2 linked regions of the Cricetulus griseus genome follow. The protein of the gene in region 1 interacts with the protein of each later gene in a pairwise test. Links are inferred from orthologs where the notes say so. Each region holds a gene or a part of one and is shown on either strand. Other genes may lie near its edges. The genes, in order: Nmi and Gcsh.

Region 1 (6,947 bases):
TGTCTGTATGTGCATGGACTGGGGTCCCTTTATGAGCCACTTGATTTGGGGCCTGGGAACTGAGCCTGGGTCTTCTGCTAGATGAACGGACTGTTAGGTACAGAGTACCGCCTCTCCATCCCCATACTTCTCAGCTGTAGGAGTCTGAAGGTTTCCCAGGGTACAGTAAAGGCGCTTGCTGAGAGCTGTCTTCCTTCTGTCCTGGAAGCTCTTGGGATGAATCCCTCTCCTTTGCTTGGCTCAGCATCCTTCTGTCATCTTCAAAGACAGTATCAGCATTACTTCTCTGATTATGTCTCTGCCTCATACTCAGTCTAACTTTTGTGTTGTTCCCTCTTTAACTCAGTCCTTCTGGATTAAGTTGAGTTTTCGTGAACAATGTAGGATGTTGTCCATATTTTATTCATTTATTATTATTATTTTTTTTGTGTGTGTGCATGTGTGTACATACTTGGGCATGTACCTGTGGAGCTTAGAGATGGAAGTCTGGTATCCTCTTCTACTTTGCTGAGTCAGGGTCTCTCACTGGACCTGCATCTTCCTGATTGGCCAGGTTGGGTGACATCATCACACCTTGTTTTCTATGTGGGAGGCCAGGATGGAAGGTACCAGTACTTACCCAGTAGGCACTTTCCCCCTGAGCCATCTCCCCAGCCTCTATGTCCATATTTTAAAGACAGACAATCAGCATCCTGAATTGGGTTTGCAGCCTCAAATCTCTACGATCTTGCTCTTGCTATTCACACTATGCTCTCGATTCTCTGTCTCCTGCTATTCTCTCCTCTCTCACAGATAGCCCTGGCTATGTCCAGTCTGCTGACCGTGTTCAGTCTACTTCCTCTCTCTGCTCTGGACTCTTCCAGATGCCTCTAGATGTTTTCTCTTGTTCATAATAAAGACCTTAACCATACCATGGAGCAGTCATGTTGGCAGGTCCTTTAATGAGCCTCGCTCCTGCTCCTATGCAATTAGGGAAGTGAAATTCTTCAAAATACAGACGATGTTTGGCTGTAAGTCACATGACAAGACTTAGATGATAGAAAAAAAAACAATACAAAGCAAAGAAGGCATGTTTCTTGCACAAAAGGGTAAAATCTGTATTTTCTTTTTTTTTCCTTGAATTTGTGTTGTATATGGTTGTAAAAGCACCCCCTTTTACTAGAAAATCATGGATGCTGATACTGACAACAAAAAGCACTCACCAGAGAAAGAAGTTATGAAAACTGAACAAAATGAGGTAAAATTATTAGTAGATGCTGTTAAGAATGATTTGTGCCTTTTTTTGTTTGTTTGTTTGAGATAGGGTTTCTCTGTGTAACAGTTCTGGCTATCATGGAACTTATTTTGTAGACCAGGCTGGCCTTGAATTCACTGAGATCTGACTTCCTCTGCCTCCCAAGTGCTGGGATTAAAGGCATGTGCCACCACTGCCCGGCTGTGCCTGTTCATTTTTAAGTAACATGCACTTTTTGTCTGTGCTAAATATTACCTTGGCATTGTAAGGCTTTGGGGCTTTTCTAAAGATCCTTACATTTGTTGTATTGTAAAACTTTATACTAAGAGTTGTGTTCCAATGTGTTTTCTTAAAAAATTAAGTGTTTTCTCACCTTCTTTTTTGGGTTTATAGCAGCAAGTGAAATGTGAGCAATTACCTAATGAGACCCAAGTGGGAACAGAGGCCCAGGTGCTCAGAGATGTTAGCAAGGCATATGTTTCGTTGTCAAAGCAGTTGACTACTCTTGGAATCATTGCTAATAAACAGAGAAAAAAAAAAACCACCAATAACCCCACCTAAAAATAAAACAAACAAATAGAAAACAACAACAACAACAACAAAACCAATAAAAAACTGCCTCAGTGTAATGTGTCCACAATTACAGTGCAATTGAAAGTCATATTATAGTTACAGATAGCTTAGAAAGGAGAATTTAACTAAGTCCAGGAGGTCTGAGTCTCTCACTCCTTGCCTTAATTGTAAAATATTCTGTATCTAATGTGGAAGACAACACTTTCTTTGATCATGTAATAGAGCTAAAGAATCTTGGTAGGATTAGGAGAACTGCCAGGGCCTGGAGAGATGACTCAGCAGTTAAGAGCACTGCCTGTTCTTTCAGAGGACCTGGGTTCAATTCCCAGCATCTACATAGTGGCTTACAACTGTCTGTAACTCCAGGAGATATTAGCCTTTTACGCAGACATATATTTGGGAAAACACCAATGCATATGAAATAAAAAAAAGTCATTAAAAAAAAGGCGAAGAGCCATCGGGCAATGAAGTAAGTGCACTCTGAAAGTAGGCATATTTATTCTGAGGCTGTCCTAAGGCTTCCTAGGTTTGGGGTGGGGGAATTTGCATCTTTAATTAATCTAGAAAAGGCATCTTGAAGGTGGTTAATTTTTTTCTATTATTTGGTGTTTTTTAGGGATTAATTCATGAAATTATGAGGGAAAACTTGCACCTGGAACAGGAGATCAAAAAGCTTGAAGCAGAGTTATGTTCGGACGCCAGAGAATTCCAAGTACTGTGATTATTTTATGTATATTTTAATGGACATGTACTTTTCAGAAAAATGATTTAGTTATACATGATTAACTCTAAAGCATTATAGTCACTTATAACACCAGTATTCATTTTTGTTTTTGAGAGCAGCTCTTGCTGGTCTTGAGCTCATTATGTAGGCCATACTGACCTCAAGTTCATAGAGATCTACCTGCCTCCATCTCCTGTGTACCGGCTTTAGAGGAGTGCACTGCCATGCCCAGCTTGGGCTACTGTTTGTAATAGCCCCAAATGGAGAAAAATCCAAGTGTTCTTCCATAGTCGAATGAATGATAAATTACTGTGTAGCTGTACAATTAAATTCTACACCAAAACAAGAACAATTATATACAACATGCATGAATGTAACAAATATGACATCGATACATAAAAATCAATGAAGGGCATTCTGTATGTTCCTATTTGAATAAAGCATGTTCTGAGTTATATAGTGGTTCACACGGGAGGCAGGCCTCCCTTGAGAAACCAGGACTTCAATGATAAGTGAGGTAAGTTTCAAGCTGTGTATCAACATTTGTTGATATTGATGATTTTAAACAGGTAACTACAACTACTCACTTTTTCCCTGGTAGGTTACAATTCTTGTTGATAGTGTTTTCTTCATTGTTGTATAAATTTAAATTATGAAAATGATTAAAAAGATGATAGGTAGGTCAAATGTGGTGACATCAGTAATTTCAGCACTGAAGAGGCTGGTGTAGGAGAATCTTGAGTTCAAGGACAGCCTGACTAAAAACAAAACAAAAATCAAACAAACAAAAAACCCACTAACGTTCTTGGGAGATTTGGGTGAAATTGGAATTTAATGCTGTCAGTTTTCATATCATGTAGCCTCAGTAGTCTTAGGGGAAAAAAAGAAGCTATCTGGTTTTGTCATAAAAAACAAACAAACAAACAAACAAACCAAAATCACTCGTGGTAGAGAGTTCTTGGTCCTAGATGGGACAGCTATATTACCGGATCCAGGCTCAAGCAACATTGGTGAACACAGGATGGGAAAAATGTAAGAGGATAGGCATATGAGCAGTAAACAGATGTCTTCTGGAAGATGCGATGGGATATAGCTGTCTGTATGAACTTGGACCTGCCAACATTTCACCATCTATGGGGGAAGGGCCCATGAGGCTTCATCCCTCCCTGAGAATATATTGACTGTTAATGGCCGCTGGGGGAGGGGAAGTCATTTTCCCTCCTGGTGTGGCCACTGAGAAGTTGTCTCCTCCATTAAGAAACCCCCCCCACCCGTGGATGGGGTGGGGGGTAGGTTGGAGGTGGGGGAGAAGGAATGGGGGTAAGGGGAGGGAAAGGGAGAGGGAGAGGGGAATTACATGTGAAACAAGCCTGTTCCCTAACTTGAATTAATAATAATAAAAAGAGAGAGAGAAAAAAAGCCAAAACAAAGCATTATGAAAAAAAAAACAAAACAAACAAACAAAACAAAACAAAAGAACCCCCCCACCCATGCTCAGGCAGGAAACTAATCAGACACCATGGGTCACACACAAGATGTGAAAGGAAGGATAGTTATGTTAAAGAAAAGATTTCGTCAGTAGAGGCAAGTGAAATGAGAGAGGGGGAATAAGGATGAAAATTACTAAAATTCATTGACTTATGCATGAAACTGTGAATGAATAAAAGAAAGCTCAGCATACACAGCTTGAAACTTACCTCACTTATCATGCATCCTTGCCATGAAACTAAACATAATTTCTAATAATTTCTTCCTGAGTTTGTGCATTACTGGCACAGTTACTTAAAAGGCACTGGAGACAGATTTTTCTTTGGGCTGCCAACACACACACACACACACACACACACACACACACACACACACACACACACAAAACCACGGAGACATTATTAATTATGAAAGGTTGGCTTATAGCTTAGGCTTGTCCTACTAGCTCTTATAACTTAAATTAACCATTTATATTAATCTACGTTTTGCCTCGTGGCTTTTACCTGTCTCCCATCTTGTACCTCCTGTTTCCTCTCTGTGTCCTCTGGCATCTCTCTCACACCTAGATTCATCCCCTTCTCTTCTTTCTCTGCCAGGAAGTCCTACTTAACCTCTTTTTGCCCAGCAATAGGTCATTCAGCTCTTTATTAAACCAATCAGAAGGCACCTTGGCAAAGACACATCTTTACAGCATACAAAAAGATTGTTCCACAACAAGGCACTGATTTACATAAATGGTGGGGATTTGGAATTGGATACCGAACAATATTGATCAGCTTAAACATGGGTTAGGGAAAGTGAGCTGATTTTATACTTATGATTTCATCTATAAAATGATATTAAAAGATCAGCAGTTGATTACCTTACTGAGAAACTGCCTGTGAAGAAGCAATTTCTATAGATGGTAAGCAAGAGTACAGTCAATGTACTTAAAGCTCTATAGTCAGTGGAGATCGAATAATTGGATGACTAGATTGGGAGGACTTAAGTTATTTCTTGTCTTGATTTTAATCAAACACATCTGTTTTAATTAGATTAAAGAGAATATACCAGAAAGAAATCTTAAATTCATCTCAGTGGAGAGTTCGGAGCATGATGACCGGTTCTCAAATAGTTGCTGTTCATTTCAAGTGAGCTCACAAATTTCTTATGAGATCCAGAAGGGACAAGCACTTATCACCTTTGAGAAGGAAGAAGGTATGATCTTAAAAACATGATTGTCACTTTTGCAAGCACCTGGACTTTCAAAGATCTTCTGGAGTTGTCTGGCTGCCACTTTACAATCTGTGTTTGCTGTTTCTTCTTGTCCTCATGGTGGTGTTCTGAGGCAGATGTGACTGATAGTCTCAATTTACAGAGAAGGAAACCAGGCATTAAGTATATTAGATATGTTAGGTCTATTGCCTACAATATATAGTGATGTAATATCTATAATGTATAATATTATATATACAATGATGTGGAGTACTGACAATGCTATGTGCGCGATGATATTAAAGGATCCATGTTTATCACACATTCAAAAAGTAATGGCTCAGGAAATGTAAGAGTTGCGATGTCCAATGTCAGCTTCTTTTTAGTACCTATGTCCCTTAAAATAAACATATTGTGACATTATAATAACATAAAGAAATAAAACTTCCAGAGCGAGTGCCAGGATAGGCTCCAAAGCTATGCAGAGAAACCCTGTCTTGAAAAACCAAAAAAAAAAGTAGAATTTGCTAGGTATGGTGGTGCACAGCTTTAATCATAGTGTTCAGGAAGCAGGAGCAGAACTATCTCCATGAGTTTAAGGCTACTGTGGTCTACATAGTTTCAGGCCAGCCAGAACTACATAGTGAGACCTTATCTCAAAAAAAAAAAAAAAAAAGAATGAATAAAGTGTTAGAAGTAAAAAAAGTAGCAGACTTTACTTCTCCGGGTGTTCTCTGGGACATCTAGTTTCATACTTACACAATTCTGTAATTTTGTGTATTTGATTGGTAAGGAAACAGATTCTGAGGATAGTTAAGTGATTTAGTAAATTAATTACTCTGTTATTGGATTGAGTCCAGGAATAGAAAGGTTTGGGATGGGACCAGATGTTGGCCAAGTCCAAAACTGTATGAGCCCTTCAGGGCTTGGCTCCTTTGTGAGGACGATTTGAGGGCCAGCTTTGTCTCCTCTGGAAGGCATGATCTGAGTTCTTTGTAAGCCTCAGATTTTTGTGACAGGCTTTGTGATAATTCCAACTTCATAAGCTGTTTGTGTATTAAATGACAGCTGTGCATTGAATGCACACAATCAACATACCTGTGTCAGCTGCTATGGTTGCTGTTTGTGTGAGGGGTTTCCCAGACAAGGAAACAGAAGCCTAGAGAAGAGTTTCCTTTGCTGAACTCCAGAGCTGACAGGGTCCCCTAAGTGCCTGTGCGTGTCCTCCTGGACCAACGTTCCTGAGGGCAGGCTTTGGTTCTGGCAACGAAATGCTACAGGATGGGTCAACATGGTCTTCAGGACCATTTCAGGCTTCTTGAGTCTTAGAACCTGTGATTTTATCTGTGTCTTCTGGCATCTGGCCCATCACACTGGCCACAGTTGAGGGAAGTCTTGCTGGCAATGGGCAGTTAGACTGGCATGTCACTGGGAGCAGGTTTCTATGTGGCAGTCACTGCATAGCAGTCACCTGGACTTTCTGGGATTAGGAGTTACTTCAGAAGCAGCCTTAATGTTGCTTGTTCCCTTGAGTCTGAAGTCCCCACACCAGGACGCAGCTCCAGGGGAACAGAAGTAAACAGGATTTACTTTGACAGTCATAGCAACTACAGTTGGGATACAAGTGGGCCCCTCTCTGTTGAGTCAGATCACCAGATGTTAGGGGCTTGGGGATAATGAGAGGATCATCTGAGTATTACTTCATTGATGTTTTCTGTTACCATCATCTGTTGC
Region 2 (7,447 bases), on another chromosome or scaffold:
TTTAACATCAGTCTAAATCACTCAAAATTTCAGAGCATATTTCCTGAATTCATTCTATAACTATAGAATGTTCAAGGTCTGCCTTGAACAAAGAACTTTATTCTTTTGAAGACAGGTTTGGGGTAATGGATTTGGGGAGGCAGCACAAAGAAAGTGATGCATACCAAGAAGTATACAGCTGACTCATCTAAATACCTGGGCTGAGCTGGGAAGATTGCAAATTCAAGGCCAATCTGCAAAGTTTAACTGCACACAATGGCATATGCCTGTAACTCAGCCCTTAGGAGGTTGCAGCAGGAGGATCATGAGTTCAAGACTATTAAGATTGCCTGAAGAGATGACTCAGCAGTTAAGAGCACTGGCTACTCATCCAAAGGAACTTGGTTCAACACCCAGCATTCACACAATGGCTCATAACCATCCTTAACTCCAGTCTCAAAGGAACTGACTTCTTGTGGCCTCTACAGGCACTGCATGTACATGATACACAGATATAACTGCAGGCAAAATACCTGTACATATAAAAAGAATAAAGTAACATTAAGATGATATCAAACAGAAAACAACTTTTGAAGGACTGGGGATGTAGCTCAGTAGATGTTGACTTGTCTACCATGGGGGCTCTGGTTCATTCCACTAATGGGGGAGGGGGATAGATTTACACAGGGCACAGTGACCTATAACTGAAATATTCAGAAGGCCAAAGCAGGAGATCTGTTGAGTATGAGAGTTTAAGGGAGCTTGGGCAACACAAGACACTGTCTCAAAAGAAAAAAAAAATTTGAGGCTGGAAAGATGGCTCAGCAGTTAGAAGCATGTGTTCCTCTTTTTTTTTTTTAATTTATTTTTATTTTATATGCATTGGTGTTTTCCTGCATGCTTTATCTGTGTGAAGATGTTAGAACTCCTTGAACTGGAGCTACAGACAGTTGTGAGCTGCCATGTGGGTGCTGGGAATTGAACCCAGGTCCTCTGGAAGAGCAGCCAGTGCTCTTAACTGATGAGCCATCTCTCCAGCCCTGCATGTGCTCTTCTTGCAGAGGACCTGGGTTCAGTTTCCAGCACTTACATGGTGGCTCACAACTACCTACAACTACAGTTTCAGTAAATCTCATGGTCCTCTTCTGACCTCCAAGGGTATCAGGCACCAATGTGCACAGACATACACTCAGGCACAACACCTATAACATAAATCCTTAAGATATAAAAACCAGCCAGGCAGTGGTGGCGCATGCCTTTAATCCCAGCACTCAGGAGGCAGATACAGGGGGATCTCTGTGAGTTTGAGGCCAGCCTGGTCTACAGAGTAAGTTCCAGGACAGATTCTAAAGCTACAGAGAAACCCTGTCTCAAAAAACTAAAAAGATATAAAAACCAAACGATGTAACCTAAAAAAGGCAATGTGGCTCTTAAGGTAGAGTTGGCTCAGGATACTGCAATTTAGTTCTAAGGACTGAGATGGACTTCCTACAATTGTAACTTGGCCAAGTTCTTAAAATTCTTCTTTCATTTAAGCCTGTCCTAGAAGAAAATGGCTCCCGTTGTTTAAAGAAGATAACTGGGGCCTGGAGCTCAGTGGAAGAGTGCTTGTCAAAGCCTTTGCTTCAGTTCCCAATACTACTAAAAACTAAAGGAAAAGAAATTTGGGTCAAAGATGATGTATAGCTATGTGTCTGCAGTACTCAACTTTCATTCTCTTAAAAGTCTAGAGTTCACTGATTACATTACCAATCACGAGCAGCTCAAAACCATAGTGTCTGACTATAAGGGGCGGACAGTTACAAATATGTATCACCCTGCTAATGTTGACTGTCTACACTTTGGCCTCTACTTTGCAGCTGTCGGTTGAGCCAGCAGCATTCTCAGCTCAGCATACCTAGGTCCACTTGACCTCAAAGTCCATTATCATCCTTTAGACCAGTCAAGCTACCTAGGCTAACCACAGTGTGATTCCAGTTCTCCATTAACCCTTGACCTGACTCAAAAAAAAGCAGATTAGGTAAATAATTACTTTCTTGCTAAGCCTTGAAAAACATGGTTTGAGGACTGGGAAAGTGGCTTAGTTGGTAGGGTACTTGCCTATTACTGAGGTAGCTCTGGGATCAGGCCCTAGCACTGCATAAACTGAGTGTGGTGGTGCTTGTCTTTAGTCCCAGCAATGTCAGGAGGATCAGAAGTTCAAGGTCATTCTTGGGCTACACAGGAGTCTTCCAACTAAACTGAGATCATGCCTCAGGGAGCAGAAATAAAACCCACCATGGTTTGAGGCCTCAGAAAAACTGAGCTGTAAATGAGGGAAACCCTTCCAATTCTCAAACACAAATCTATTTTATCTAATATGGCTCAGTGTTATGTGTACATTTGGTTATGAAATACACAGTAATATTTAATAACACTATTCAGTGACAGGACCTTCATTCATTTCTTCCTCCCAGTAACTCTGAGGTAGCTACTTCCTCCACTGTTCTAATGCAGGACACTGGGGTTCTGAGAAGTTGAGAGACTGGGCCCAAGACCACACAGTTGTGAGAGGAAGAACCAGGATTGTGAGCTTTTCCAAGTGAAGGGCCTGCACCCTGCAAAATAAGTGTGCACAATTCTGCCAGTTACAAGAGGGTAAAAATGAAAACCCGAGTAGTTAGGCAGACCATGGGAATTGATATTTTGGGCAATATTTAACTAACAACCTGGAACTCAATGTAGCTCAAGCTGGTCTGGAACTCAGTGATCCTCCACCTCAGGAGTGCTGACATCGTTACAGGTGGGAGCCACTCACCATACCTGGTCTGAAATGGAGTTATCTGAGCAGTGCTCTTCCCTTGTATTCTAGTCAGCAACACACCTCTGTGTTGCTGTGTCACAAACAATAGAAAAATTTTAGCAAGAAAGAAGCAAACTTTGCACTCCACACTGAGGAATAACGTGATCAACATTTTGAATTCGCACAGATTTCTGACCCAAAAGACTTGCTGAGAGCAGTCGTTCAGATTTGTGCTGTCTGAATAGGGATCGTACAAAGGGCAGCTAGGGTCTCCACTATTTGCACATAAAGAAAGAAAACTGTTTCCCAGCTAACTATGCGAAGGCGTATAATGGGCATGTCTCCCAGTTATTTCCAGTCCGTCAAATTAGGCTCTTTTCAGCCCCAGTACACATCAGTGACTCAATTACAGACGTTATCAGAACTTCTCTGAAGTCTAGAACACTTTCCCTTGCTTTCTGTAGTTCACAGCAACGCCATGCTTGGCTTTGCGGGGGGTGGGGGGGTAGTAAAAAGCTTTTATTTCTGCATTTTGACTTTTCTTTCATTTATCTGTGCGTGCACTCAGTGCTAAATTTTAGTAGGTGCTTCTGCCTAACAGTTCCCTGTTATGATTCATTTAGTTAAGCACTCCACATTTGGGGTCTCCGTGCACCCACATGTAAGTCACTCCTGCAAGAGTGGTCGGGTTATCTGCAGGTCCAACGGGCCTTCCCTCCTAGCTCCACCCCGGGGGCAAAGTTTGCTCGTGTCCTCTCGAGGGAGGGAGAAGGGCCGCAGAACCAGGATCCCAAGAGCAAGAAGAAGCGCGGACAGAGCTACAGCTCACTCGTCTCCGGGAGGCTGGACCACGTGCCCCTCACTTACCCGACTGGACAGCCGATCCAGTGCTCAGCGCGCGGACGGCGGCGGCGCTCGGCACCCAGGGCCCCGGTGGGCAGGAGGCCACGGCGGTGCGCAGACTGCAGGCCACGGCCCACGCGCTCCTAGCCACTCGCAGCGACATGATCAGAGTTGCTGGAGTAACCGCACTGCGCCTCCGCCACCGGGCGGGCGCTAACCGGGCGGGCCAGAGTAAGCGGAGCCCGGGGCCCGGGGCGGAGCTCGGGCAAGATGCTCTCTGATTGGACAGCTCGAAGGTTCCACTTCAGATAGGACAAGGCGCGCGAGGGGGTGTGCGCTTGTTGAGGAGCCGAGGCCCGGATGGGGCTGTGTGCGGGGCGCGGAATGGCTGGGCGGAGAGGGGCGGGGCCTCGCCGAAGGGCGGAGCCTCGCGCCTAGAGTGGGATCTTGTGAAAGCAAGCACTGGGTCGGCAATCTGTGCATTCCTCAGTGGCCAGAGAAAGAACCCAGCAAGGATGTCTTTGCTGGGCTAACGCAGTCTCATGCCATTAAGTCAAAAAGTCCTAGGGAAGACGAGGTCCCGCCAGGCCCAGTAAAGCACAGCCACGCCCATCTGCACAAGGTCACCCGCAAGGGGATTCATTTCATCTGAAGATCAGTGGTAGGCATCTGACAAAGTCATTCTGACACAGATCGTATAAGTTTTTAAATGCTGAAAACAACCCAGGAAGCCACTTTATTACTTTACAGATGCCAAGAGGGCCAGAGACTCTTAAACCCAAGGGAAATAGAGAATAACACAATTTATGCGGGCCTTGTACTACCTTTGATCACAGCACCCTGGAGATGGAGACAGGAGAATCAGGAGTTTTCAGCCCATTCATTGCTCCTTAGCAGCCATGGGAATGAACCTGGGTCCTCTGCACTAGCAGGAGCAGTGAGTACTCTTAACCACTGTCTCATTTCCCAACCCCGTAAGATTTTTTGTTTGTTTGTTGTTTTGTTTTTTTAGAGAAACGTTGTTTAATGGTAAGGCTTAGCACACTCCAGCACCAGCACAGGCATGGAGTCGAAGCAGCAGGGATGGCTGGCTGGCCCCATGGAGCTTCATGTGGCTAAGAGGATGAGGAAGGTGACCATCAAACAAAAGAGCCCCATGGCCTCAGACAGGGCAAAGCCCAGAATGGCATAGAAGAGCTGTTGCTTGAGAGACGGGTTCCTGGCAAAGCCACTAATCAAACTACCAAACACTGTTCCAATGCCAGCCCCTGATCCAACCACACCAACTGTGGCAGCCCCAGCACCAACCAATAAACTTAGCAGCTGTGTCAATGTCCTAGGAAACAACACTGGTCTGGAATTCCCATCTGGCCATCTGGAGAGAGGAGCGGCTGCAGGAAGGCTGTTTAGATGGGGCCTCTGGTCTACTCAAGAGGGAGGCAGGCAAACTCCTGATTAGACCTGTGGTATTGGAGCTGATCAGAACTGGAGTAACGAGCAGTGCCTTGATGGTCTGCATTTTTCAATTTCCCAGCTGTAGCCCTTAGTCTCAGCCCCATAAGAAGATTTTTAATATACAGCAAGAAAGTAGGTGTTGTCCATCTCAGGGTTGATAATCCAGTCAGAGACCCCCATTCCTTACTGGGCACAACTTGGCTTCTCTAAACTCTTTACTATCAAGGGAAATGGATTGTCATTACCAAGACAAAACAGGATTTACTTGGAGGTGGCTGCAGAAGTCCTGCAAGAGAAGGGGGACAGGGCTCCCTGAAAAAGGGTCAGTTTTCCCTTAGCAAAGAGGAGAGCATGGGGTGGGTTTGGGGTAGGGAATCCACAGGGTGTCTACAGTGGATCAGGAAAGAGGGGGACAAGACATGCTTAGAAGCTGTGTTAGATCCTTAGCCTGGGCTGCTGGTGGGGTGGGGGTAAGAGTTAGACAAACTCCTTTTGTTAGACCCCCGAAAACTCAAGTATCCGGGGTCCCAGGTCATGTTCGAGGTCACCCCAATCACCAGGCGGATTCGAGAGCTTGATGCAAACTGCACGAGGCTTTATTGTAATTTAACGAGCTAACCCCATGTTAGCTCGGGTCTTTCACCCACCCGCCATGGCGGACGGCTAGCAAAGACGGCTCCTAGGGTCTCCCAAAAGATCTTATAAGGCAGCGTAAGGGGAGTGTCTAGGGGTACGCACAGGCTCACGATTGGTGTGCCTCCAGGCTTGGAGGGCTTGCCCTGTGTTGATTGGTCAACTGGTTGTTATGGCCCATAGGCCCTCCCAGGGTGGTTGCTATGCTCTCTACGTCATTGCTGTGCGCTTGTCCGTAAAGCACACCCAGGGTCGTAAAGCATAGCGCCACCAGCTAACTTCTGATTGGCTCCTTGTCACGAGACAGGCATCTGACCTCTAAGTGACCAAGGCAGGTTTATGGCAAGCACGTGTTCGGCTGTTATGGCTGCCAAAAGGGAAGCTGGTTCCTTCACTTTGTGGGGCAGACAGGAAGAGGGGCCATGACTAGGTAACAAAGGTGGTAAGCTTCCATGATAAGCCCCTTTTTTTCCTCACCCTCCTGACCTGAGACAAAAGCCTGGCAACTTAAAACAAAGGCCTTGTGGACTTTTCTCCTACCAGCATGCCATGCTCCCCTTGCACCACCCCACTCACTCACCCATCCCCCATCCCCCCAACCCTGTCCTCGTCCCTGCACCCATGGGGTGGCTCAATAAATTCAAGGCCACATCAGGATGCTTTTATACAACAGTTGTGGGCCATCCTGTCTTTTTCAAAATGACCAACCCTATAGGAAGACTCTTCAGAGACAAAAACAAACAGCAAACAGCCCTCAAGAAGAGACTAGAGCTCTGGGCTTCCCGAGTCCCTCCTTTACAGAGGCTCTTTTTCTCTGTGTATCTGCTAATGCCTGTGCCCCCACCCCGATAAAAAAAAGCCTTTCAACTGCTGATTTCTGTCTGCTCCTGTTTCCTGTGTTCAAGATTTCTCAGATGCCACCTGTAGAGATTTTCTTCCTGCCTTTTAATTATTTAACAGTGAAGACAGACCCCCTAGAGGAGCTGGCACACATATTTGATCCCATTATGGGGAAGCAGAGGCAGGCTGATCTCTGAGTTCAAGGTCAGCTGTACAGAGTTCCAGGACATCCAGGGCTATACAGAGAAATCCTGTCTCAAGAAAACAAAACAAAAACAAAACCATAGACAGTAATAGTGTTCTTCCTGTTTGTTTCTTGTTTTTTGATTTTTCTGAGACAAGCTTTCTCTACATTATAGTCCTGGCTGCCCTGGAACTCGATTTGTAGACCAGGCTGTCCTCAAACTCACAGAGACCTGCCTACCTCTGCCTCCCAAGTGCTGGGATTATAGGTGTGTGCCACCACTGACAGGCACTTTTCTTGTTTTTTTTTAAACTCAATTTGTCGTTCTTGGTCCCAGAACAGACAGCTAACCAGACAGCTATTAGCATTTGAAGGAATTCTGAGAGTAATTCAAGGCAACTGCCAATAACCAAACCAGTGAATTAATTGTTCTGTAGAGAATATTCTTTTCCACATATGTGTATTTTATTTCTAGGAGGAAATGCATTTGAACACGCAGGCTCTCTCACTATTATGTATGTATGCATTGTGACTTATTAGCTGGATTCCAGAACTCCTCTATAGACAGCAAAGCCAGTCCTCCCGTGAGACTTCAGAATAGGCTGGAAGCTCTGGTCTTCCCCAACATGTAGATGAACAGTTTAAATTCTGGGCAAAGCTTGTGCTGGTTGAGGAGACAGACCCTGGGAGGACAACTCTGGCTGCTCATTGCTGCTCTTCGGCTCTTCTCT

Evidence for each region.
Region 2: the proteins of Nmi (region 1) and Gcsh interact in binary tests that used the Homo sapiens proteins (3 or more experiments, as listed by UniProt). The two-hybrid records come from large-scale screens. The link is inferred for Cricetulus griseus from reciprocal best matches to the Homo sapiens genes NMI and GCSH.

What each region holds. Positions count from the first base shown.
Region 1 is NC_048599.1:122,378,977-122,385,923, forward strand, and holds part of Nmi (N-myc-interactor), read left to right. Parts: intron 1-1,146; 5' UTR 1,147-1,168; coding exon 1,169-1,237; intron 1,238-2,423; coding exon 2,424-2,519; intron 2,520-5,053; coding exon 5,054-5,216; intron 5,217-6,947. UniProt on the Homo sapiens protein: Acts as a signaling pathway regulator involved in innate immune system response.
Region 2 is NC_048596.1:193,603,108-193,610,554, forward strand, and holds the start of Gcsh (glycine cleavage system H protein, mitochondrial), read right to left. Parts: upstream 3,858-7,447; 5' UTR 3,768-3,857; coding exon 3,629-3,767; intron 1-3,628. Other genes in the region: Pkd1l2 (polycystic kidney disease protein 1-like 2), read right to left, coding at 7,358-7,447. UniProt on the Homo sapiens protein: The glycine cleavage system catalyzes the degradation of glycine. The H protein (GCSH) shuttles the methylamine group of glycine from the P protein (GLDC) to the T protein (GCST).